4 linked regions of the Cricetulus griseus genome follow. The protein of the gene in region 4 purifies or fractionates together with the protein of the main gene of each other region. This does not show direct contact. Links are inferred from orthologs where the notes say so. Each region holds a gene or a part of one and is shown on either strand. Other genes may lie near its edges. The genes, in order: Supt20h, ubiquitin carboxyl-terminal hydrolase 22, Zzz3 and Tada3.

Region 1 (5,463 bases), on a different chromosome or scaffold from region 4:
GGGTGGTGGGTGGGTGTGTGTGTGTTGCGTTTTAGTATGTACATATACTTTGTTGTGGTTTTGTTTTGCTTTTTTGAGACATGAGCTTATTTATAGCCTCGCTGGCTTAGTTAGAACTGGTGATATCATTGCCTCAGCCCTTGAGTAGACATGAGCTGCTGTACACACAAGTGTTATTAGAGTCTAGAGCATAAAATGAGACATTGTGGTGGTGCTGGTTAAAAATGGTTTATTGTGGCTTGCTTTGTTGCTGCACTGCCATGTGGTGGTTGAGTGCTTCTAAAATTGCTGTAATAAATTATCCTGGAACGTTCCTAAGGTTAAAATTTAAGAAATTATAAAAGAATCTATTTTCACTGTTTATGAAGCTTACTTACAGATCACAAACAAGATACTTAAAAGGTACCCTGTAAGAGACTCACTTGCCTTGCCTTTCTTGCTACCTTGACTTGACTCCCATTTCTTCATAGTGTTAGTGGAACCAATTAACCAGCATTCCTGCATCTTTCTCCATACGTTGTCTTTGCTTTCTTGTTTAAGTGGATGAATCTCATTCCTTAAGTCCTGATCCCTATTTCCCTTCTAGGTCTTTCCCTTCTTGGTGGCTTACAACCATAAGCCCCCACTAGATACAGAATTTAAACATGCTGTGTTCTCAGCTTGAAAACCTCTTAAGACCTCCCTGTTTTTTTCAGCTATTGATTTAGAGTTCTTCTCACTACAAAGGCACTCAAAAACTTGTCTATAAACTTTTTATCACACTCTTTCTTCACTCATCTAGCCAGCCTTGTAACAAGCATTTCTTAGATGATTTTGTCAAGTCACTGATCTCATGGCATGGCATTATTAGTCACTTTTCTGTTTGAATCTGAATTGTTCTATGCAGTGTAGCTGGGCTTAATGATACATGCTTTTCATCCTAGCATCGGGGAGAGTCAGAAGTTCAAGGCTATCTTCAGCTTCATGTTGATTTGATAGCTAAAGTAAATCCAAAATGGTTACAGAGAGAGCAGTTGCATAGGTATCATTGTTGGGTGACATTGGATACATGAAGATTTCCAATAGCCAGATGTTTATATGAATTGATTAAAAGATGGTTGCTTTCATTAATCCCAACTAGAGAAACAGGTAATTGTTGTCCTTTGGTAGCAAATCATGTGATATGTACAGCTGTAAGGGTGGTAGCAATTAGTATAATTCGGAAAGTGTAGATTATTAGTATACTAAGTTCCCAGTTGTTAACAACAAAGTATAAAAAGTACAGCTTTGGCCAAATGTAATATTTTAAATATTTATTGTTAAGACTGTGATTAATATCCTATTCATAAGTATTATTGTTTAAAGAAAGCATGCACATAAGGAAGGAAGCTAAGTAGGGTTCATATGATAATTCTAGACTAGCTGTTAGTATTAGCTTGGTTGACTTAAGATAAAGACTACTATGGTTATAGAAGTATCGATTGTATTTATCAATTTGTATTTGAGCACAAATAACTAACGGTATAAAGTGCCTGAACATACTGTGAGGGAGTAGGTAAGTTGTAGTGAACTGAGTGCTAAGGTTTCTTAAACATGCAATACAACATAGTTGTGAGTTAAATTCATGGTTAGTTCCTTCTTGTTCATACAGTCTAAAAAGTCTAGAAATTTCAGGAAAGCAAATATGGAAGTTATATCTAGAAGCTGAAATTGTGGCACAGTTAGTGTATTGCAATGACAAATTATATAACAATTATGATACTAGCTAAATGAAATAATGAGCCAGTGAGCTTCAGAAGAACCTCCATCTGAAGGAACTCCAGAAATTTCCCCATAGATGAATGCCAAAGTTATCCTGGATATCATTAGATGCAATGTCAGTCTACTATTAACAGTTTTAAATTGCTTTTTATAATGATGAACATAAAAATAATCATCTCTAGTAGTTTATATAGTAGTGTATCCACCAAAGATATCTATTGAAAGTATAGAGTTTAAAGACTGAAACATTCAGTATAAGCTTGCTTATTTTGGCTTTTGAAAAATGACATTTACCTGAATGTTTTTTTACTTAAAACAGGTTAATATTTTTCATTGTGGATGTGTGATAGCAGAAATACGTGACTATAGGCAATCCAGTAACATGAAGTCTCCTGGTTACCAAAGTAGGCACATTCTCTTACGTCCAACAATGCAGGTATGGAATGTCTAGTTAGGAAGTACTGTTTTTTGTTTTAGTTTGGATTTTATTAGATGTTCATATATGTATATGAAAATACATGTTTTAAAATGTTTTGTTTCTTCTAGACTTTAGTCTGTGATGTTCATTCTATAACAAGTGACAACCATAAATGGACCCAGGTTAGTTCTCTCTCTAATCTCATGTAGACCACACACAGAGTGAAGCATTAGTGAGAGGCTTACTTTTACTCACATTTGATTGTGTGTTGGGTTGGACGTTTGGACAAACCCAAGATTCCCTTATGAGCTTTGGGATTTTAAAATCTGTACATTTAGAAATCCCTCAAGGAACTGCTTATAATCCAGTCCCAAATTGCTTCCAGTCTTGTTGCTAAACTAGGGTTAAGTTAATTTATAAAGCCTAACATGAAAATTGGTTGTTTTGTTTTTATTTTAGATTTTTGTTTTTGTTCTTGTTACTTTTTTTTATTAATTTTTTTTATTTTTTTTTAAGACAGGTTTTCTTTATATGACAGTCCTGGCTGTCTTGGAACTCCCTCTATTAGGTCAGGCTTGGCCCCTAACTCACAGAGATCCTCCTGCCTCTGTCTCCCAAGTGTTGGGATTAAAGGCGTGTGCCACCATCGTCCGACTCATCCTATCCAACAAAATCTTTATTCTTACCATTGAATGCATATAGATTGTGATTTTTCTTCCATCCAGGATTCTAAAATTCTAAAAGAAGCCTATTTTTTCTTCTTCTGCCGCCCTTCCTTCCTTTCTCCCTTTTTCTTTTTGGAGTAAGATCTCTAGCACAGGCTGGCTTGGAACTTGAGATTCTGCTGCCTCTCCCTCTTGAATTCTGAGAGTAAAGACCTGTATCATCACACCTGGTCTAACAGGATTTCTTAGCAATGACAACAGCTAATTAATTGATCCTCTAGTTCTGGCTCTTTTTTATCTATTACTGTGGAGAGAAAATTTCAGTAATGAAATAGCCCTCTATGAAATAAGCTTGTGAACTAAGATTCAGCTTATCCAAAACTAGTAAATGATGAGCTTTAGTCTGGGCTGTTGTTTTCCCATCTATAAAAAGGTCAAAAGTTCTTCACATCAGAGACAGAGTTGCAGTCAGTGCTGGAGAGCAGTAAAGCATCAGTTTCTTAAGCTGAGAACTGGTAAACAAAGGAAAAATTTATTCCACCATTTCCAAACAAACTATTTTAGACAGCCAAATAAATATTCACTCTCTGAATTTTACTCTTTTATACAATATACAAAAAACTGAATTTCCATCAGAAGTTTATCTTGTGGGTTTACACAGTAATGTTCAAACTTGAGTTACTACAGTTACTTTAGTCTTAAGCAAACTTCTTGGGAATATTTCTGGCTTAAATGATGTATGTTTACATTATGAAAAATATATCTGAATCTGACATATACTCCTGTGTATTTCAGGAAGACAAACTTTTGCTTGAGAGCCAACTGATTCTAGCTACAGCAGAACCACTGTGTCTTGACCCATCTGTGGCAGTAGCTTGTACTGCAAATAGGCTGCTCTATAACCGGCAAAAGATGAACACTCGCCCAATGAAACGGTAATTTCCGGCACTTGTGTAACACAGGCTCTTAAGTGTTGCTAGCCACAGTGCCCTTTCCCTCAGCATGGCAGTGCTGGACTTTTTACATTTGAAAATGGGATTTTTAATGGCCTTGTATTGTGATTTTGTGTGGTAGGATTTTTAAAAAATATTCCCTGCATTATTGTAAAGTGGTATTCTCTGCAGTCTTTTAAAGAAGGAACTTCAGTAAGTTTATGGTCTGTGAGGCTGAAAAAAGACCAGATAGGAACAGAAGGATGGTAGCTTCATTACTTCACAACACTAATTGGAAACATCTAACAAGGAAATAGTATGTAACTTACAAATTTTGAGCCATACAGTCAGAGTTTTAGGGGTTAATTTATAAGGGCTCTCTTTCCATTTCGGGATTTGAATCAGCTTGGCTACATGGTCATGAGTATTTGGTCTCCTTTTTGTTTTACTTGTACCTAAAGCTTGCTGATGTGAGAGTGTTGGATAGGCATTTGCAATTTAATCTATAATTAATATGCTGCTTCTTTTCCATATAGATTGAGTTGTTGCTTTGTGTATTCCAATGTCTGTTAGGTGTTTGAAGAGGTATTCCAGGTCCTCCCTGAACCGGCAGCAGGACCTGTCTCATTGTCCTCCTCCCCCTCAGCTGAGATTACTTGATTTCTTACAAAAACGGAAGGAAAGGAAAGCAGGTCAGCATTATGACCTCAAAATTTCTAAAGCAGGAAATGTAAGTCGTTCTTCAGGAGCTTACTATTCTGACAGGCTAACTTTGTTTTAAGTTTTTGGTGTAATTGTACTGCCTTTAACTTTTCAGTGTGTGGACATGTGGAAACGGAGCCCCTGTAACCTGGCTGTGCCTTCTGAAGTAGATGTAAGTTCATGAAATGCTGCTCTCTAGCACAGGGTCAAAGTTCATCATTAGGAAGCTAATGCTGTGAGAAAACAAAAGAAAGAAAGCCAAAATCCTTCCTTTTTAACAAACCAAGTTCTCGTTTTAAGAAGCTATGTATTTACATCAGTCATGTAAGTTTCGTGTGTTGTGTTTTTAAACCTGGGTCTTGCTGTGTAGCCCAGGGTGTTCACATCTTGGGGTAATCCTCCTCTCTCACTCAGTTTCCAAAGTCAAGAGATTCTGAGAATGGACCACCAATCCAGCCTTAGTTACATAATAGCATAGCTTGAAGGAGTTCTCAGTTAGGAGCAGGAATAATAATAAGGTTTCAAAATGTGGAAAGGGTGTGATATTTTTTATATAATGTAAAAGAAATAAACTTATTATGTTTATATACTCAAAATTGGCAGACTTTAAAGATTAGTAATATTAGAGCCATGACCCAAAATAGGAATTCCCAGCACTATTCAAATTCTAAGTGATCACGGGGATGTTAATGAAGGACAATATTTTATTTCATTTCTTGTGTCTCTCAGAGTCAATTGTATTATTTACTCAGTTATCACATATGTATATGTGTGTGTGTGGTGTGTGTGTATATACAATAACGTGTGGAAGATGAGAGTTGATTCTTTGCTTCTACCACATTGTTCCTAAGCATCAAACAACTCAGGTCTTCAGTTTCAGTGGAAAGTACTTTTATCTGCTAAGCCATCTCACCAGCCCTTACTCAATTCATTATGATCCTTATTTCAGAATTACTTCATTATTTCAATAATGCTTTTGTGTTATTGTCCTAACAATTAAAATACA
Region 2 (5,463 bases), on a different chromosome or scaffold from region 4:
AAGGAAAGTAACATGACCAACCCATCAAAATGCCAGACACTAGTGTTTCTCAAATGCCTTGGATACTGAGGTTCAGATATGGTAGCATCAGCTCCAATGGGGACAACCTGACTGACAACTCATGAATCTTTCTGAAAATGAGACTGCCAGAGAAAATGTACTTTTGAGTCTGGCGTGCAGCTTAGTAGTAAAGCACTCACCTACAATATGTTTGGCCCATGTTTGATCCCCAGGACTGGCAAAGAAAGAGAAAATGCACTTTCTTTGTTTTGTTTGTTGTCAGAGTTAGGGTCTCACTGTGTTGCTCTAGCTGGCTTGGAACTTGCTATGTAGACTGGACTGGCCTCAAACTCAAAAGATCAGCCTGCCCATCTCCCAAGTGCCAGGACCGTGAAACCATGCACCACAGCCTGCTGAAAATGCACTTTTGATCTGCTTGCTGAAAGACTGGAACCCATGACAATGATACCCACTAGGTACTGCACTCTCACACACCCCACTCAGAGAGACTTTTCCTACACGACTTAAAATTTCCAATTCAATAAACTTTAATAGTATATCACTTGGCCAGATGGAATCAGAATGAGTTTTGCCTTCTTCCTGATCCAGGCACGGCCCCTTAGGAGTCACAGTCACAGGGGCATTGAGGTACCTGGCCAGACTAATGTCACTGGGAATGAAGAAATGCTGGAGGGGCTTGGTCCATTAAACCAGATGCCAATCTGCACAAGTGCAGCACTGGCTGGCTCTCCTTTGCTCCTTGTGTCTCACTGTCTCATCAAGTTCTACCCTTACCACACCTCAAGGAGGTGCAGGCTCACTGTGCCTGACCTTCTGTGTTAAGGACATTATAGAGAGAAAATGTAAAATGCTTCTACATCATATATATTAAAAGTCATTTCATTGGGGCTGGAGTGATGGCTTGGGGGTTAAGAACACTGAGTGTTCTTCCAGAAGACCCAGGCTCAACTCCCAGTACCCACCTGGAGGCTACCAACCAAGTGTAACTTCAGGTGCCCTTCTCTGGTCTCCTTGGGTACCAGGCATGCAAGTGGTACCCAGACAAACATGCAGGCAAGATGCCAATACACATAAATTACAATAAAATATTTAAGGGGGGCTGGAGACTTGGCTCAGTGGTTAAGAGCTCGAACTGCTCTTTCAGAGGATCAGGGTTCAATTCATAGCAACCACATGGGGTTTGCAACCACCTGGGGGGGCAGAGGCAGTCCAATCCTAGGGGCTTACTAATACGACAGTCTCTTTGAAATGCTGAGTTCCATGTTCAGTAAGAGACCCTGTCTCTAAATATAAGATAAGAGAGCAACTGATGTTGACATGAGGGTGTTCACACCACTACAAACTGGCATGTACACAAACAAAATTTAAAACTCCTTTCCTTATAATATTTTCACTATGGGTTTTGTTTCCAGGAGTACCGTGTATACACTTGTTAACTACGAGATTTTATAAGGCTGCAAAATCATGGCAGTAGCTAGGGGGTTGTGGCACACACCTTTAATCCCAGCACTTGGGAGGCAGAGACAGGTGGATCTCTGAGTTCAGGGCCAGCCTGATCTACAAAGTAAGTTCCAGGACACCCAGGGCTGTTATACAGAGAAATCTTGTACCAAAAACAAAACAAAAAATTCATGGAAATAATATTTGCTAAAGATCTTTGTGTAACACTTATTATAAAACTTTTTTTTTTAATAATGAATTAATAGAAGATGCCAACCTCTGCAAACAAAAAAAACATTCAGGAACTGGGTAGCTTCCATACAGATAACAAACTGAAGGATTATCTTACTATATTAAACTTTGCCAAGAAGAGACATAATATTTTGTATCTAAGGAGTAACTGTTACCATATGCTTTTGTTAAGTGCTTGAAGCTTAAAAACCGCCTTTTACTAGATAAAATGTTAATTTAGAAAATAAAGTTACAAGACTGACAGTGTGTGTGTGAGGGGGACTTCTGCATGGTTTCTGGGCTTTGCTTACCTGGAATACACATTTTGTGAATGCTGGGACAGGCTGTTTTTGCTATACATAGGGAAATCTTAAAAAAGAGAACAAAATTTCTAATGGTATTGTCTCCATGATGCATCTAACTCCACTGCCAAGAGTAGCTCATATCATTTAGGCATAGGCATTGTGGTGGCTTGAAAAATGGCCCCCAAAGGGAGTGGCACCATTAGGAGGTGTGGCCTTGGTGGAGTAGGTATAGTCTTGTTGGAGAAAGTGTGTCACTGTGGAGGCAGGCTTTGAGGCCACATATATGCTTTAGCCAAGCTCAATGAGACAGACCACTTTCTGTTGCCTGCACAAAATGTAGAACTCTCAGTTACCTCTCCTGTACCACATCTGCCTGCATGCTGTCCTGTCCTGCAATGATGCTAATGAACTGAACCTCTGAAACTGTAAGCTGCCACCACCATGAAATGTTTTTCTTTATTAGGGTTGTCATGGTCATGGTGTCTCTTCACAGCAATAGAAACCCTAACTAAGGTCTATTTCAACAGTTTTTGTTTCTTCCTTTTCTGTAGTAGTAGGGTTCAAGCCCTATGCCTTGTATATAGTAGGAAACGGTTCTACCTCTGAGCCAGACACTTGGTCCAATATTTAAGGAATTTCCACACTAGTCCAGCAAGAGGCAATACAACATCTCAATCTGCCAGGGCTAGGAACTGAGTAAGAAAAGGGAGAAACTGTACTGTCTAACAGACCTTCTGCAGGGAGGATGGACACAGCCTGGGGTATTGCCGTGGAAGAGCCACCCATCCTCTCCTAAGCACCAAAACCCATTCCATTAAATCTACACGCTTCCTGCATTAGTTTCATCGTTTCTGTGAGCTATGGGACTGACCCAGGAAAAGTAGGACTTGTTTTTTTCTCTCCTACCCAGACTGAGCCAGCTTCCTTGACTATTTTTTGGTCACCTAACCTTCTCTAAGCACTGTGAACGCACCTTGCAACTTCCATGCCTTTCGCTGTTCCTCTTTGGCAATGATTTCTATGTCCTTGTCATAGATGTAGTCCTGACACAAGAAGCAGTATATCCCTCCATACATCAGGTCAATAGCTGCAGACAGAAAGGAGGGAAGAGAACAAAATTAAATCTAGCATGGTGAGTTAGTGCTTCAAGCAGCTGAACATGAGCCAAGTATTCTAGACACCAGCTGCCCAGAGCATTTTCCTCTATGAGCTGCAGGAAGTCCAACTGCAAGGGTTTATCCAAGGTGGGTGAGTATGTCTGCTGTTTCCAGAAGTTTCCCGGAGGGATGAGCAAGAATGAGAGGCACACATCTGTGGCTTGCAAAGTACTGATGCAAGGATCAGGGTGCTCTGCTTCAGCTGTGCAAGCACAACACTCAAAACTAGGGCAAAACTTCACGGAGTATTTATTTTAGGTCCACAAGAGTTCTCAGCGACCTGACTGGGGAATGAGACTTTGCTACATCCTCGATGGCTGGCAGTCTTGTAAGGGAGACTAACAGCTATTTGCTGCTTCCTCTATCTTGACTCTGTGTTGTTCTTTTTCCAGGGACAGGTGAAACAGGTTCCACTCAGAAACCTTACTTCACAGCACAGAAACTGAACTTTTATCTGTGCCAGATGCTACTTCAAAATTAGGGACTGGGATTGCTGGGTGACAGAGATTCCAGGTGTCACTTTCTGAGCTGTTGCCAGACTCTGAAGCAGGTATACCACTGAAACAATTGTTTTCTGATCACAATGGAATTAACTCTACAATAGCAGGGGAAAGAAAAAACAAAACAGAAATCTCAGAAGATGGGACAGAAACCACCCCAAATGAATCTAAGGAGAAATCTTAGGAAAACTAGAAACTATTTCAAGAAAAATGAAAATAAACCTGTTGGGCATGATGGCCACAACTTTAGTCCCAGCACTCAGGAGACAGTGGCAGGTGGATCTCTGAATTTGAGGCCAGCCTGGTCTACAAAGTTAAGTTCCAAGACAGCCTTGTTTCAAAAAGGAAAAAAAAGAAAGACAAAAAAACCTATCACACTAAACCTTAGGGACTTGGGGAAGGAGGTGGACACGATGCTAAGATGGAAACTGGTGGCTGTACATGCTAACATTAACCAATATTAAGCCAAGCATGATCATGCATGCCTACAATCCTAGCAAGCTGAAGGCTGATAAAGGAGGATCCCATGTCTGAGGCTATCCTGGGCTATATAACAAGACAGTTTAAAAGAATAAAGCAAGTGCCTATATGGTAGACATAGCCTATAATGCTAGCACTGGGGAGGTAGAAGCAGGAAAATCAGAAGTTCAATTCAAGGTTATCTTTGGCTGCATGGCAATTTCACAGCATGAGACTGCCAACAACAACACACAAACACACATGCACAACTACTTCACACACACATGCACAACTACTTCAAACTCTTGATGTTATATGATGCTTAGCTAGCCTTTCATGAACCCGCATTACTGAAAACCAGGAAAACCCATTGCTAAAAGGGTTTAAAAGGCCTCAAAGCAAATGGTAACACCACTTGAGAGTTCAGTTTCACAAGGAGGCTTTCATCACAGTGGGCTTTTAGGGAGGATAATGTGCTAACTGAGCCAACGCCTGCCCCTGCTGCAGGAGGGTGTCTTACCCAGGTTGTGCCGCTTTGACTTTGCATGGTCATGGATGTGTTTCTTTGTGAAACAGCCAAAGAAGACACAGTAGAGGCAAGAGTGCAGCCGGTTCAGGTGGATGCCGCAGACATGGCAGACACAGGACTTTGCCTGAAATGTAGATAAGGAGTTATGAGCAGTGTGGATGCAACAGGAGTTCCCAAGGGGAAACACGGAGTCCAAGTAGAGGATCACAACTGGGACCCTGGCAGGAAGAAGCACAGGAGGTTTCTTCTGAGTCTTTACACTGTAACACATCACTTCATTCTTCCCATTTTCCCAAAGCACTTACTTTAGCTCAAAACCAAATCAACAAGAGAACAGCTATGGTGATGCCATCATTTTCTCACCCCCAGCACTGAATTTTCAGGCACCCCAGGCAAATGCCACCTGCACTCCAGCAGGCAGCTCATACCCAACCATCTCTAATTCAGGTATCATTTTGAAGCTTGAGAATCAAGGTTCTAAAAAAGATGCACAATGTGTTTAAAAGACAAACAAAATAAAACACCAATATAAAACAACCCAAGAACTACAGTAAAGAGACATGAATCAATGCAATACATAAACAAGAGAAAAATCCACTGCCAAGAATCAGGCCACAGAAACCCAGCAATGCAATCACAGCAAACATGAATGCAGTGAGAGACAATTCTACATATTCACACTACCCAAGAATGTGCCAGTTTGTAGTACTGTGGGTCAGGTATGGAAAGAGGAAGGGTCAGAGTTATGAATGCTCACTGGGCAACACAACAGTAAAATGAATAAAACATGATAAAAACAAAAGGCACCCAAATTTTAGTTC
Region 3 (5,463 bases), on a different chromosome or scaffold from region 4:
ACATTCTTCAAGCAAGGAATCAGTCATTTCACAGGAAATTCAGGACAAAGAAAAAATGAGATGGCACAAATGGATACAGCTGATACAATCCACACCACGGCAGCAAATCCATGGACAAACAAACCAGGTTTCAGTGCAAGCAGTTAAGGCTGAGGAAAGTCAAAGGAGGGTTTTTCATCCCTACCCCCAATTTATCGCCACTCTTTGGCTCCAAACAAAGTAAAAAGCACCCCAAATTAGTGAGTCCAGCTCAGGGGTACAGTGCTTGCCTGATGTGCACAGCGCCCTGAGCACGTGTGTGCACACACTTGGTGGCATGACCAAGGTAACCAGACACTCCATTACATGAAGAGTCACTCCTCAGAAAGCTGAGCTTGCTGTCTGGAACTATCTCCTTCCAAAACCATCTGAAGTGAGACTGAGGAGGAAGACAGGCAAGCAGACTAACTGCCAGGTGACAATTATTGAAGCTGAGGGGCGGGATATGGGTCCAGTGTGCTGTTCTCACTACTTAGCTATATACTGAATTTTCTTCACGGAAAACAATGCATAGAACTTTAAATCTGACTTGTTGGTTAAAAGGGGGTACATCAGGGTACATTCCCTGAAGAGAAGGAATAATCAAAAACGCGTGTTCCCTATAAAAACAGGCAGCAACTTACCGACGCCTCCTCCACAGCAGGGCTTGTGTGGCCATGAAAACAGGAGCGGTCATCGTCTTCATCCATATACACTGGCGGCTCATGGGAAGTCATGAAAGTGGAGGGTTTGAAGAGGTGCTTATTGAGAGGGTGCTGCCGTCTGCTTGCTGAAGACTGCGTGAGAAAAAAGATGTCTTATTGGAACAGTGGGAAACCATGAACAGAATCAAAAGGACAAAAACGTGCACACCCACCCACCAGTTACAGGAACTCAATACTGGCTGCACTCAACTCTCATGATCAACTTCTACTGAAAATCAGAGAATAAAATGGCCTAAGTCAGATAAATAACTGCCCAGTAAAAAAGAGAAGGTTTTTTATGCCATAACATTTGAGTGTCCAAAACAATCACCTAACAGCAAGTCACTGCTTGCTTTCTAACAGTCTCACTTAGCCTCACCACACGCCTACACAGTAGCTATTCAGAGATGCAGAGACCCCCGCATGAGGTGGGTTTCAGGCTAGGGCAGAACTGGGAGGAGATCTGTGTGGCGGCACAGCCTTCGCTACCAACCACTATGCAGACCAGTCTATACCACCGTCATAAAGAGGAACCACTGGAGTCCCTCCATTCCACCCATGCAAAGTCCAAGCGGTCGCCATGGTCAGGAACATTATGACGATGGTTGCACCACTACTCCACAGCCATGATGTCAATGACCTTCCAAGAGACTACTCTACAGAATGAACAGATTCAGGCTTTGCCAGTGTTCCTTTCTGATATTATTCACTCTTTCAGGCTTTGCCAGTGTTCCTTTCTGATATTACTCACTCTTGTTTGTAAAAACACAAGGTATAAAGAAACATTTAATAAAATTAATTTAGAAAAATTAACTAAGGGTTTGGGGATATTCCTCAATGGCTGAGCATTTGCCTAGCATAAATAAAGTCTTGGGTTTGAACCACAGGAGGGGAGGGGTATGCCAGGCTCCAGCATTCCAAGTACTTAAAACAATTAACAAACTAAAATGATCTTGAAACGCTTGATTAAACATAATTCCAAAAACCCATGGAGCTGGAGAGATGGTTCAGGTGTTAGGGTACTTACTGTCCTTGCAGAACATTAGAGTTTGATTCCCAGAACCCCTGAAGGTTGCTCACAACCTCCTAACACGCCAGCTCTGGGGGAAATCAATGCTCTGGCCTCTGTGGGTACCAGTATTCATATACACACCCATTCATAGACATGTAATTTAAAAAGTAAAATGAATCTCTAAGAACTCAAAGATGTCAACTATATAAACAATCTCCTTATTGTAACATGAAATCATATAAACCAGCACCCACCAGGAAGGTCATAGCAGCTTCCTTTATGTGAAGAGGGGGCGTGGCAGAAGGACGAGATCATAAGGAGTTGCCAAGCCAACAGAAGCAGCCTCTATCTCTCCTAGTTGGCTGCACACTGCTAATGCAGTGCTCTGTGCATCCCAGAGAGCTTCTCTGACTAGAGGGCAGCGGGGAAGCAATGGGACTGCAATAGAGAGGACTGATGGCCTAACTCCATGGCACACTCCCTGCCTTGCATGCTGAGGACCTAGGTTAGTGCCTAGTACCCTGAAGCAGGGTGAGGGGGCAAAAAGGCCGCTTGGGACTAACATGAAAGCAACACAGCAGCATTCATCTGCAATCCCAGCAGAGGTGTGAGGACCAACACAAGCCTTGATGTACACAGCAAGTTCTAGGTCAGCTAGGACTACCTAGGGAGATTGTCTCAAAAACAATGGTTCTCCGCTTAACTAGTTTGTGGCAAGATGGTGTTTATATGTTATTCTGGTCTACTGTGCCACCATAAAGTGGAAGGGCGAACACTACTTACAACTCTAGAACCACAGTGAGGGCGGGCTAAGGGTTTCAGGAACATTTCCAGTCTATGCAGGAGAGCAGGAAGAGAGCAAGCCTACATTTCACAGTCCATACCTTACAAAATTTAACATCACAAAGACATTCCCAAAGAATTGGTACAAAAACCCTTTAAGTAGTACTCATTCATATTACTTACAGGAAAATAATGAAGAACTGTTAAAACTTAGCATATTTTTCTAGGTAGCAACAAAGGGAATCTTATTCTGCCTTTATACCCAAGGTAGTGGAATGTCAAAAAGAAGAGGAGCGCAGCCTAGCAAACTCACACCTCCACAACAGTCCCTCCTTACCTTTTTAGAGTACATATATAAGTTAGGTGTTCGGCCTGGAACTGGAATGCCAGCTTTAGTTAGCTTTATGAAGTACTTCTGTACACGGCTGGCCACCTAAGGAAACAACAGTTCTTAAATACAACGAAATGATATATCAGCAAAGTTTTAAATGGTGATGACTAAATCGAGAAATAACCTTTAAGTGATCATCAAAGACATCTGTATTTTAAAATCTTGACAGAGTCATTTCAAGTAAATTTAAGTTTGTGTGATTTCGAAGCTAAACCCTTACTGTCACTGGTGAACATGGGTGAGTACAGCAGGAAGCCATCACCAGTAATGCAGATGAGCGCGAGGAAGGAAGCTGCCGTGTCCATGTTCAGAAGACAACCAGGATTACATTAATGCCATGCACAAAACCCACCAGCACAGTCTAATCAAAATGACACCGCAGCACACTCACTAGGCTTACACTCAAGAGATACAAGGTCCACTGTATATATATATATTTTTTTAATGTTTTGCATTGATGCAGAACAGGTTTACTTATGTTGTTTCTGCAATCAACATAGAAACAAGCAATGCTAATCATTTAAAACCATCACACACTAGAGCTAGCAAGGGCAGCAGCTGTGCCAGCATGGCTGCAGAACTGTCTGCCAGGTCTGCACGCACAGCCCACAGCCTTCCCATCACCTGTTTGGCTGTCCGGTTGCCCAGCTCATCTGCAATCTTCTGCCACCGCCGAGACTCTACTTCCTCAGGAGGGTATTTCAGGAGGAGCTCTTCAAGTTTTTTCTGCATCAAACCCAAGACCAAGTTTTAAGTGAAAAAATGTATTTTTCCATTTAAAACACTGGACTTCTAAAAAGACACATTCACATTTTATTCAAAGTACAGTGCTGCTTTCCCAGCTCTGGAGGTCCCATCATTAGATTCTCAAAGTAGAAAAGAGTTCCAGTCAGGGACATAAGATGCCACAGGCAAGATGAGATCCACGACGACACCTAGTAAAGCCCCGTGGAGGATCTGTATTCACTTTATTTAGTGACTATAGCACAAGAGAGCAGAAGAGAAACAACACGTCACGTCGGGCTGCACACATCTGAGTGAACGAGGCTCCCCAACTGTCTTTGGGCCAGAATGCACAGAGGAGCCATGTCAGAGTGTTCCCTCTTGTGTCATCTGTCAGCCAAGCATCTGACTGGATCCTGGTACTCAGCTTCTAACACTCCATACACAACCTAACTAAATACACAACATCAAGGTCACACTTCACTACAGCTGGGCAACACCAGCCCTTAGCACAGGCAATCTGAGACAACAGAAATTAAAATGCAACTTGAAGGGGCTCTGCATGTCCTGAGGGTTTTCCCAAACCCAGGGTTTCTCTCTAAGAATTAATCCTAAAAATAGTTCATGCATCTTCAAAATCCAAAACTCTCAAACTATGCAAAAGGGATAGAAAAGTAACTCTACACATTTTAAACTCATGATTAAAAGGAATTACAATGCAACAGTAAACACTTGCCTGGCAGTGCTAATTTTACTATTAACAGTTCAGATTGTCATTAAACCCAAACAAGCTAGACGTATGTATTTACCTGTTCTTCAACAGTCCACAGCTGGTTGAATGTTTCAGGTTTGGTGTCATCACACAGGCGACCTCTTATCATCTGCATATAAAAGAAGGCTTTTATAAATGGAAAACAGCAAGGATATAGCTAAAGAACACACAAGGAATGTTTCACAATTTCCAAAATATCTTTGCGTATTTTTAACACATATACCACCTATTTACTGATTAATTTTTTTTATATTCTTATATTTCATTTGGTTTTAAACTCTTCACAATCCTCAAATAAACAACAAGAAGTGTGGGTTCAAAACTGAAAAGTAACAATTCCTACAGAGACAAAGCCATACCTCAAATCCTGGTCACACTCCACAGTGCCACTGGTACTGGGCAAGGTACCCACAATGCCCATTTAAAACCCATAAAGACTCTACAATATAACCAATACCAATTACATTTTATAAGAGGCTGCAACTTGAAGACCAGAACATACACAACAACTGAGGTGTCAGAGCTAGCAGTTTGGACGCAGATTTAGGTTTCTGGTTAACTGGAAAGTTTACGTTCCCATTATTTTTCAGTGAACAGCTCTCCATTTTAAGAACACAATTCAACAGAACGTTAAATACTTTCATGCTTTCACGCATTTCATACCACTCACCTGAGGGCGACTATGGGAGCCTTCTGGACCGTCACTCAAAGGCAACACGGAGTAAGAGAGGGGCTCTCCATCCTTCTTAAGATCTAAAGGACTTTTTGGTCTAGCAGGCAAGCCTACTAAAAATAAAATCACATACAGAATTATTCAAGCAAGACACTGCAAGACATCTTCCTCATGAAATTCTCACCGTGTGAGTTCTTACCTTTATCGAAAACTAACTTAACTCTTCTAGAATGTCTTTTGCGATTTTTAAATTCTCTTTCGAAGTTCCCAAGGCTGTTGGTATACTGGTCCCACACAATCTCAGGCAACTGAACAACTCTCTGTGGGTATGGAAGCCCTATATCGGCCTGGGAAAAAAGACAAAATACAAATATCAGAGTGCCAATC
Region 4 (6,230 bases):
TGGACACCATAGCAAGTTCTAGTGTCTTAGAAATGAAACAGGAACTTAACTTTTATATATTAAGTACAGAAAGAAATCGGTTGCTGAAGTCTAAAAGCAAGGAGCATGTTCAGAGGCTCTTAGGATAAAGGCAAGCGGACAGGATGAACTTCACTGACAGACAGACGCACCACTTGGCTGAGGTGGGGGTAGCAAGGGAAAGCTGAACCTCAGTGTCTGCAGGGGTAATGCAGCAGGCAGGAGGCTGGGAAGGAAGGAAGTAGATGATGTGGACTTTGCTGCCTAGGATTCCGAGGCACCTCTGAGCCCTCCTGTTCTATAACTCAGGGTTCTATGGCTCAGGGTTTCTACCTTATAATGTTCGGCTTCATCTTCAGGAGGTTTCAGGAGCTCCTCTAGTGTTCGTACCTCCTCACTGGTGATATCCGCACAGTAGGGCTCCACAGAGGCCCAGAACCTGCAGGGAGAAGCAGACCCTGAGTGGGCACCTCTGGGCTCCTTCAGCCTTAGCCCTGGGTCTTCTAAGACCACACCACCAGTCCCTAAGCCCCCTCTAGCTCTGTTCTATGTGTTCAGGCTCAAAACCTGTTGGGAGCGTCATTCTTGGGGATCCGAGGCACGTCAATTGGGTCATCAGTGAATTCATATTCCTGGATCTTTGGCTGAACGTTTTTGGATTTGGGTCGTCCTGGGCCAGGGCCTGGTCCATGCCCTGCCTTCCCTTCCAGTTTCTGCTTCTTGGGCTTCCCATGTTTGGGGGGAGCACCAAGTTCATGGTCTCGACCCAGCTTCAGGAATCGTCGGTCACCTTTCTTATCCTGCCAGTCAGTAAGGATCTGAAACACACAAAGGCAGTCACTGAGAAGGAGAGAAGAGACAAGCTCCTCTTCCCCACTTGGATGACTTGAGATCTCCAATTGGAGGCTATTAAGTAAAGCACTTATCCAGTTCTTTCTCTGTGACTTTTCTCACATGCATCGAACCAGAGGTCTACATCTCATTCTCCTCTGTTACCCAAGCTAGCCACAGACTGTTTGGTAGAAAGGTTAAAAAAAAATAAAGCTGGCCGGGCGTTGGTGGCACATGCCTTTAATCCCAGCACTTGGGAGGCAGAGGCAGGCAGATCTCCGTGAGTTGGAGGCCAGCCTGGTCTCCAGAGTGAGTGCCAGGATAGGCTCCAAAGCTGCACAGAGAAACCCTGTCTCGAAAAACAAAACAAAATAAATAAATAAATAAATAAAGCTGGGCAGTGGTGGTGGTGCACACCTTTAATCCCATTACTCAGAAGGCAGAGACAGGTGGATCTCTCAAAGTTCAAGGCCATCCTGGTCTACAGAGAAATTCCAGGACAGGCTCCAAAGCTACACAGAGAAACCTTGTCTCAAAAAAAAACAAAACAAATTTTAAAAAGGTTATGCCCCAGAGCATAGCAGCAGTCCTGGGAAATATGCTGCTGGTGGTGGGTTTTTTGGTGATGGCCAACAAGACTCCCAGCTAACCTTCATTTCAATCATCAACCCTCCTGGGAGCCCTGTCTACACAAACAACTGACTGTGTCACAGTATATCTCAGAAAGCTCCCAGGGAATTCCAGGGACTACAAGGGGACAGAATCCATCTTCTGAAGTCTAGTAGGATGGCATCCCTGGCGTTGGGACCTAACTCTGCTGTCACAATTCCCATTTGGGTCTCTCTTCCCATCCATATCCTCAACATATAGTGTCAATGTTAGGTCATTAACCTAATGAGCCATCCCATAACTTGACACAATCTTTCTCTAGTGATGTCCCCTCTGTTGGAGAATCACCTGGGTTTCAGCTTCCAGTACACGCAGCCGCCTGCTTGCAGAGGACAGCAAGGTCTCAAGCTCCAGCTGCAGAGTGTCCAGCTCCTCAATACCAATGCCATCATCCTCGGAGCGGGCCAGTACTGCCGTGTACCGGGGACAGACCTTCAGGTGGTCCACAGACTTGAAATCATGGAATTGCAATGGGCAGTCCTTCAGTTCACTCATGGCTCAGGAGATGGGATTCTGTAAAACTAGAGAGAAGGCCATTGGATGGGAGACAAAGTAGCATGGAAGAGAGGTCCAACAAAGAAACCAGGATTCAATACCTTTATAGATACGGATGGTGGCAACGTTCCTGTTCATAGAGCCCTGATTGTACAGAGGGGGGCTTACTTCACTGAATTATACACACAACCTTGGGGGATGGGCTTTATTCATGCTTTCCTTTCTTCCTTTGATGAAAAAGGAAACAGACTCCTAAGTGCAATTCATTGTCTTTTTTGTTTTGGTAGCACTTAAGACTGAACCTGAGTCTCACACATGCTGTTATCTTCAGGTTTTTTTTTGTTTTTTTGTTTTTTTTTGAGACAAAGTCTCACTATGTGGTCTTGGCTGGCCTGGTACTCATTATACTTGCCTCTACATCCCAGAGTGCTGGGATAAAGGTGTATACCACCACACCTGACTTCCCATCCTCAAACTTGCTAAGTAACCGAATATTTGTTTTCACCTCCCACGTGATGGGATTCCAGGCATGTAACCACACCTGGCTTATTCAGTGCATGTAGGCACATAGTCTCCAAACAGCTACATTCAGCCCCCTTTCATCAATTTTTTATTGAGACAGGTTCTCACTCAGTTGTCCAGACAGGCCTTGCTTGCACTTATGATCCACCTGCTTCAGCCTCCCTAGTAACTAGGTTTACAAACCTGCATGATTAATTCGAACCCAAGAAGTCTCAAACCTGCACTACAAGAGAGATACCAGTGTGCCCTGTCTTCCTATGCCCTCTGTTGGGCTCTTTCAAGCATTCTATCTTACAGGGTTCACCCAGCCTCTCCTCATTCCACTTTTGTACCTCTCTGCGTCCCTAGCTAGTTTGGAACACGAGCTGGTCAAGCAGACAGAACTAAGTTCCAGCCCATTATGTGCCCCTCTAAACATGTTATTTAACCTGAATCTTAGTTTCTTTTCTTTTTTTTTTTCCAGGACAAGAGATGATGCCTCGGTCCGTTTCCCCATTAAAAAGTATCAATCTGTAAAATGGGGGCATCAAGAGTACCTACCTCCCTGGAATGTTCTGAGGATTAAGAGGTGATGCTTCTCAGGTGCCCAGTTCAGTGCCTGGCACAGAAGTGGGACTGCTTAATGGCTGGCTCCACCTGTGTGTCGCCCCAAGATCCCGCCTCCAGGGTCCTCGTCCTCTAGGGAGCCCCTAACACAGCTCCCGCCTCTCCTACCTCCTCTCTGCGGCCTCCTACAGGCCCCGGGCCGCAGGAGGGGGCGGGGAGTCCAGTGCTCTCAAGCAACCGCCCCGGAACTGGCTATGGGCGGGCCCGGCCCCCTGCAGTTGACGCGAGGGCGGGGACACAGCCAGCCCACGGTGGCCTCCGGGGGGTGGGGGGTCTAAGGCCACCTACGAACCTCCGACAGGTGGAATGCTAGGCCTGAGGTGTCCCCTAGGAAGCAGCCCGGGGCGAGGGCGGGGCTCAGAGCCCAGATCTCCAGGGACCCACTTGCTCGGCCAAGCCCCAGGGCTCCCGGTAGGAGGAGCCCGGGCGGAGAAGGGAGCACCACCGGAAGAAACGTCGGGCTTCTCCGGCTCTGCCTGTCCTAATTTGGTGCCCAACCTGAGGTCGGGCTGTACTATTGTTACATGGGGGGAAGTTACAACAGAGGCGACAAGAACCAAAGGCGCTGGGAAGAGATGTATGGAGACCCAAGGGGCTTCGAGTGCTACTGTGTCATCCCAGGCCTCCTACAAGTCCCTACGGTCCCAGTGTGAGATCGTCCAGGGGATCCGAACGTCGCTCGGAACTTCCTCCCCGGTCCTGCTCGAGATGGTCCCCCCCGGAAGTGCTGGCGGAGACTGCGGCTGCGCCTCGCGAAAGGGCAGGCGTCGCGGGGCCGGGCACTTCCGCACTTCCGCTTTCCGGCCCCGCGACAGCACCCGAGATGGTGAGAGACCCCGGGCTCGGGGGACTCCCTGTGTCTTGCTAGGAGAGGCTGTGGGGTCTGGGGGAGATGCTGTTTGCCGCCTGAGCTTGCGGCCGGAGGTTGCCCTAGGATGAGGGGGCACGATGAGGATGGGGAGGCAGAGGGTGGGGCGAGGGCAAATGCGAGGAGGAAGGAGCGAGCTGGGAGGTGAGCTGGGCAGGAGCAGGCCCGGATGCTTCCAAGTTGGGCATCCCCGGAAGGAATGTTCTCTCGCCAGAGTTCGGAGGAGGCGGGAAGTGGGGCTGCTAGGTCTGTGGTGGCGGCTGCAAGGTAGGACCACTGAGGAATGAAGCAGGGCCTCCTCTTCATCCACGGTAGAGATTCGCTAAGTGCACCCCCTTGTCCCCGCCTGTCTTCTCGATCTCACGGTACCCCAAGGCAAGTGTCCACTCCTCCTTATTACTCTCGATCCCTTCCACCCCTTGCTTCCAGGCCTCAATGAAGGTTCTGTGGTGTTGCCTCCATTCAGGCTCCTTCCTCGTAGTGCGGTACGGTGTTGACCTTAATGTGTGTAAGCGCTGATGACCGCTGGCCCTTCCCTTCCAGGTTTTTTCGGGTTTGGTGTCTGTGGGTGTTCCGTACTGTTGCATCTCTCTTCCTACTGCTTTCCCCGGTCATGCTGGCTTTGATGACCTCAGTTCTAAATGCCGGACTGCTTGCCATGCTCCTGTGACTCGACTCTGGAGAGACACCTTGAAATTAGACCCTCTTGTTCAAAAGTCACATGCTTTTTCTAAACTTGTTCATTCTCCTGCGTTCCATGCCCTAACTGGTTTCATTCCTCAGCCTGAAAGCCGTATCCCTTTGACTGAGGATGTAGCTTTTCATTTTTAAGCATTTAAGTTTTTTTGCACTTGAGATCCTTCTATTCACTAAAGGGCAGACATCACAGGACTAGCCACCTAGAATTCACTTTTAGTTTTCTTACTTTGACTATTAACAAAATAATCAGATAACCATTACTTCAATGAAGGTAGAGAACATTCTATCACTCTTCCAAGGGTACACTCTACCCCAGACAACTACTAATTTCACCCTTCCGGTTTTGCCTTTTTTTGGTTAACATATAAATAGAATTCTCTAGTGTGTAGAGAAAACATAATGCACCGGGCTACGTGCAAACTTAGTTGTGTTTTTAGCCTTTCCCTCCTCTGTCTAACGTCTGGCTGTCCCCTGTGATGCTGTGCTTTCTCCACTCCAGTCTGTACTCAGTGCCTCTTCTGAGTCTCACTTCCCTCCATTCCATTCTCCAGAGAGCCTCTGCTGAAGTCATGTAACTTCCTCCTCAGAAAGTCCCAATGCTTCCTGCCACATTGAGAGAAAGGCTAACTCAGTGAACTGGCATTCTAGATTGTCTAGGGTTTTTATCCCAGCCTGCCATTGCAGCCTGGTCTATGCAGTTTAAAATGCTTCTCGCGGTTCATTTGTTCACTCTACAGGAAATTTGTAAAATGCTATGTATAGGAAGTACTGAGCTAGTTGCAACCAGCATAACTGAATAAAGTTAATGTGTGTTGACCATGAGAATTACAAGCTAGTGAAGGAGAACCAATTTAAGAAAATACATGAAGAATGTCTTGTTGTGAATTATGGTAAAGTGTACATATCATAAACTCTGGTAAATGCACTGAGGAGGAAGTCAAGAAGACCACTTTGAGGAAGGAAGAGGCCTTTTCAGTGAGCTGAGCTCTGACGGACTGACCTAAGCAATGAGGAGGAAAGAATGCAGGTGATGGCCAGCATGTGATAGGCCCTGAGGGGAGACAGAGATAACTTGAGAAATAATGTAGCTGATCATTAAGCTGACCTTGTCTGCTACAGAGAATGTCCCAGGTCTACTTTTTCTCATTGTAAACCCTTCGAAGGCCGGGCGTTAATGGCGCACGCCTTTAATCCCAGCACTCGGGAGGCAGAGGCAGGCGGATCTCTGTGAGTTCGAGGCTAGCCTGGTCTCCAGAGCGAGTGCCAGGATAGGCTCCAAAGCTACACAGAGAAACCCTGTCTCACAAAACAAAACAAACACCTTCCTGATCTTGTGTCTAGTCCATACTAATTTCCGTAGTATGGATTATTTATAAACCTAGTTAATTTTACATTTTGCCTTCCATTAGTCCTTGTGATCTCATCCAGTTGAGTTATTTGAGAGCAGAAGTTATCTGACTGAATTCCCAGTGTGCTCAGGGCATGGATCAATACATTTGTCCATGTAGGAAGCAGGTGGAGG

Evidence for each region.
Region 1: the proteins of Tada3 (region 4) and Supt20h purify together in Homo sapiens (affinity purification with mass spectrometry; 3 studies listed by BioGRID and IntAct, counting the BioPlex papers as one, with this or other methods). This does not show direct contact. The link is inferred for Cricetulus griseus from reciprocal best matches to the Homo sapiens genes TADA3 and SUPT20H.
Region 2: the proteins of Tada3 (region 4) and ubiquitin carboxyl-terminal hydrolase 22 purify together in Homo sapiens (affinity purification with mass spectrometry; 5 studies listed by BioGRID and IntAct, with this or other methods). This does not show direct contact. The link is inferred for Cricetulus griseus from reciprocal best matches to the Homo sapiens genes TADA3 and USP22.
Region 3: the proteins of Tada3 (region 4) and Zzz3 purify together in Homo sapiens (affinity purification with mass spectrometry; 4 studies listed by BioGRID and IntAct, counting the BioPlex papers as one, with this or other methods). This does not show direct contact. The link is inferred for Cricetulus griseus from reciprocal best matches to the Homo sapiens genes TADA3 and ZZZ3.

Annotation. Positions count from the first base shown.
Region 1 is NW_023276806.1:96,587,729-96,593,191, reverse strand, and holds part of Supt20h (transcription factor SPT20 homolog), read left to right. Parts: intron 1-2,059; coding exon 2,060-2,176; intron 2,177-2,286; coding exon 2,287-2,340; intron 2,341-3,618; coding exon 3,619-3,758; intron 3,759-4,328; coding exon 4,329-4,485; intron 4,486-4,572; coding exon 4,573-4,629; intron 4,630-5,463. UniProt on the Homo sapiens protein: Required for MAP kinase p38 (MAPK11, MAPK12, MAPK13 and/or MAPK14) activation during gastrulation.
Region 2 is NC_048600.1:75,154,694-75,160,156, forward strand, and holds part of ubiquitin carboxyl-terminal hydrolase 22, read right to left. Parts: intron 4,767-5,463; coding exon 4,634-4,766; intron 3,085-4,633; coding exon 2,971-3,084; intron 1-2,970. UniProt on the Homo sapiens protein: Deubiquitinase that plays a role in several cellular processes including transcriptional regulation, cell cycle progression or innate immunity.
Region 3 is NW_023276806.1:6,888,479-6,893,941, forward strand, and holds part of Zzz3 (ZZ-type zinc finger-containing protein 3), read right to left. Parts: intron 5,424-5,463; coding exon 5,276-5,423; intron 5,190-5,275; coding exon 5,074-5,189; intron 4,513-5,073; coding exon 4,441-4,512; intron 3,635-4,440; coding exon 3,533-3,634; intron 2,951-3,532; coding exon 2,855-2,950; intron 816-2,854; coding exon 663-815; intron 1-662.
Region 4 is NC_048601.1:31,420,431-31,426,660, reverse strand, and holds the start of Tada3 (transcriptional adapter 3), read right to left. Parts: upstream 3,572-6,230; 5' UTR 3,434-3,571; exon of another isoform or gene 3,134-3,433; 5' UTR 3,076-3,133; exon of another isoform or gene 2,040-3,075; 5' UTR 2,014-2,039; coding exon 1,807-2,013; exon of another isoform or gene 1,781-1,806; intron 837-1,780; coding exon 586-836; intron 458-585; coding exon 352-457; intron 1-351. Other genes in the region: Arpc4 (actin-related protein 2/3 complex subunit 4), read left to right, coding at 5,730-5,735. UniProt on the Homo sapiens protein: Functions as a component of the PCAF complex. The PCAF complex is capable of efficiently acetylating histones in a nucleosomal context. The PCAF complex could be considered as the human version of the yeast SAGA complex.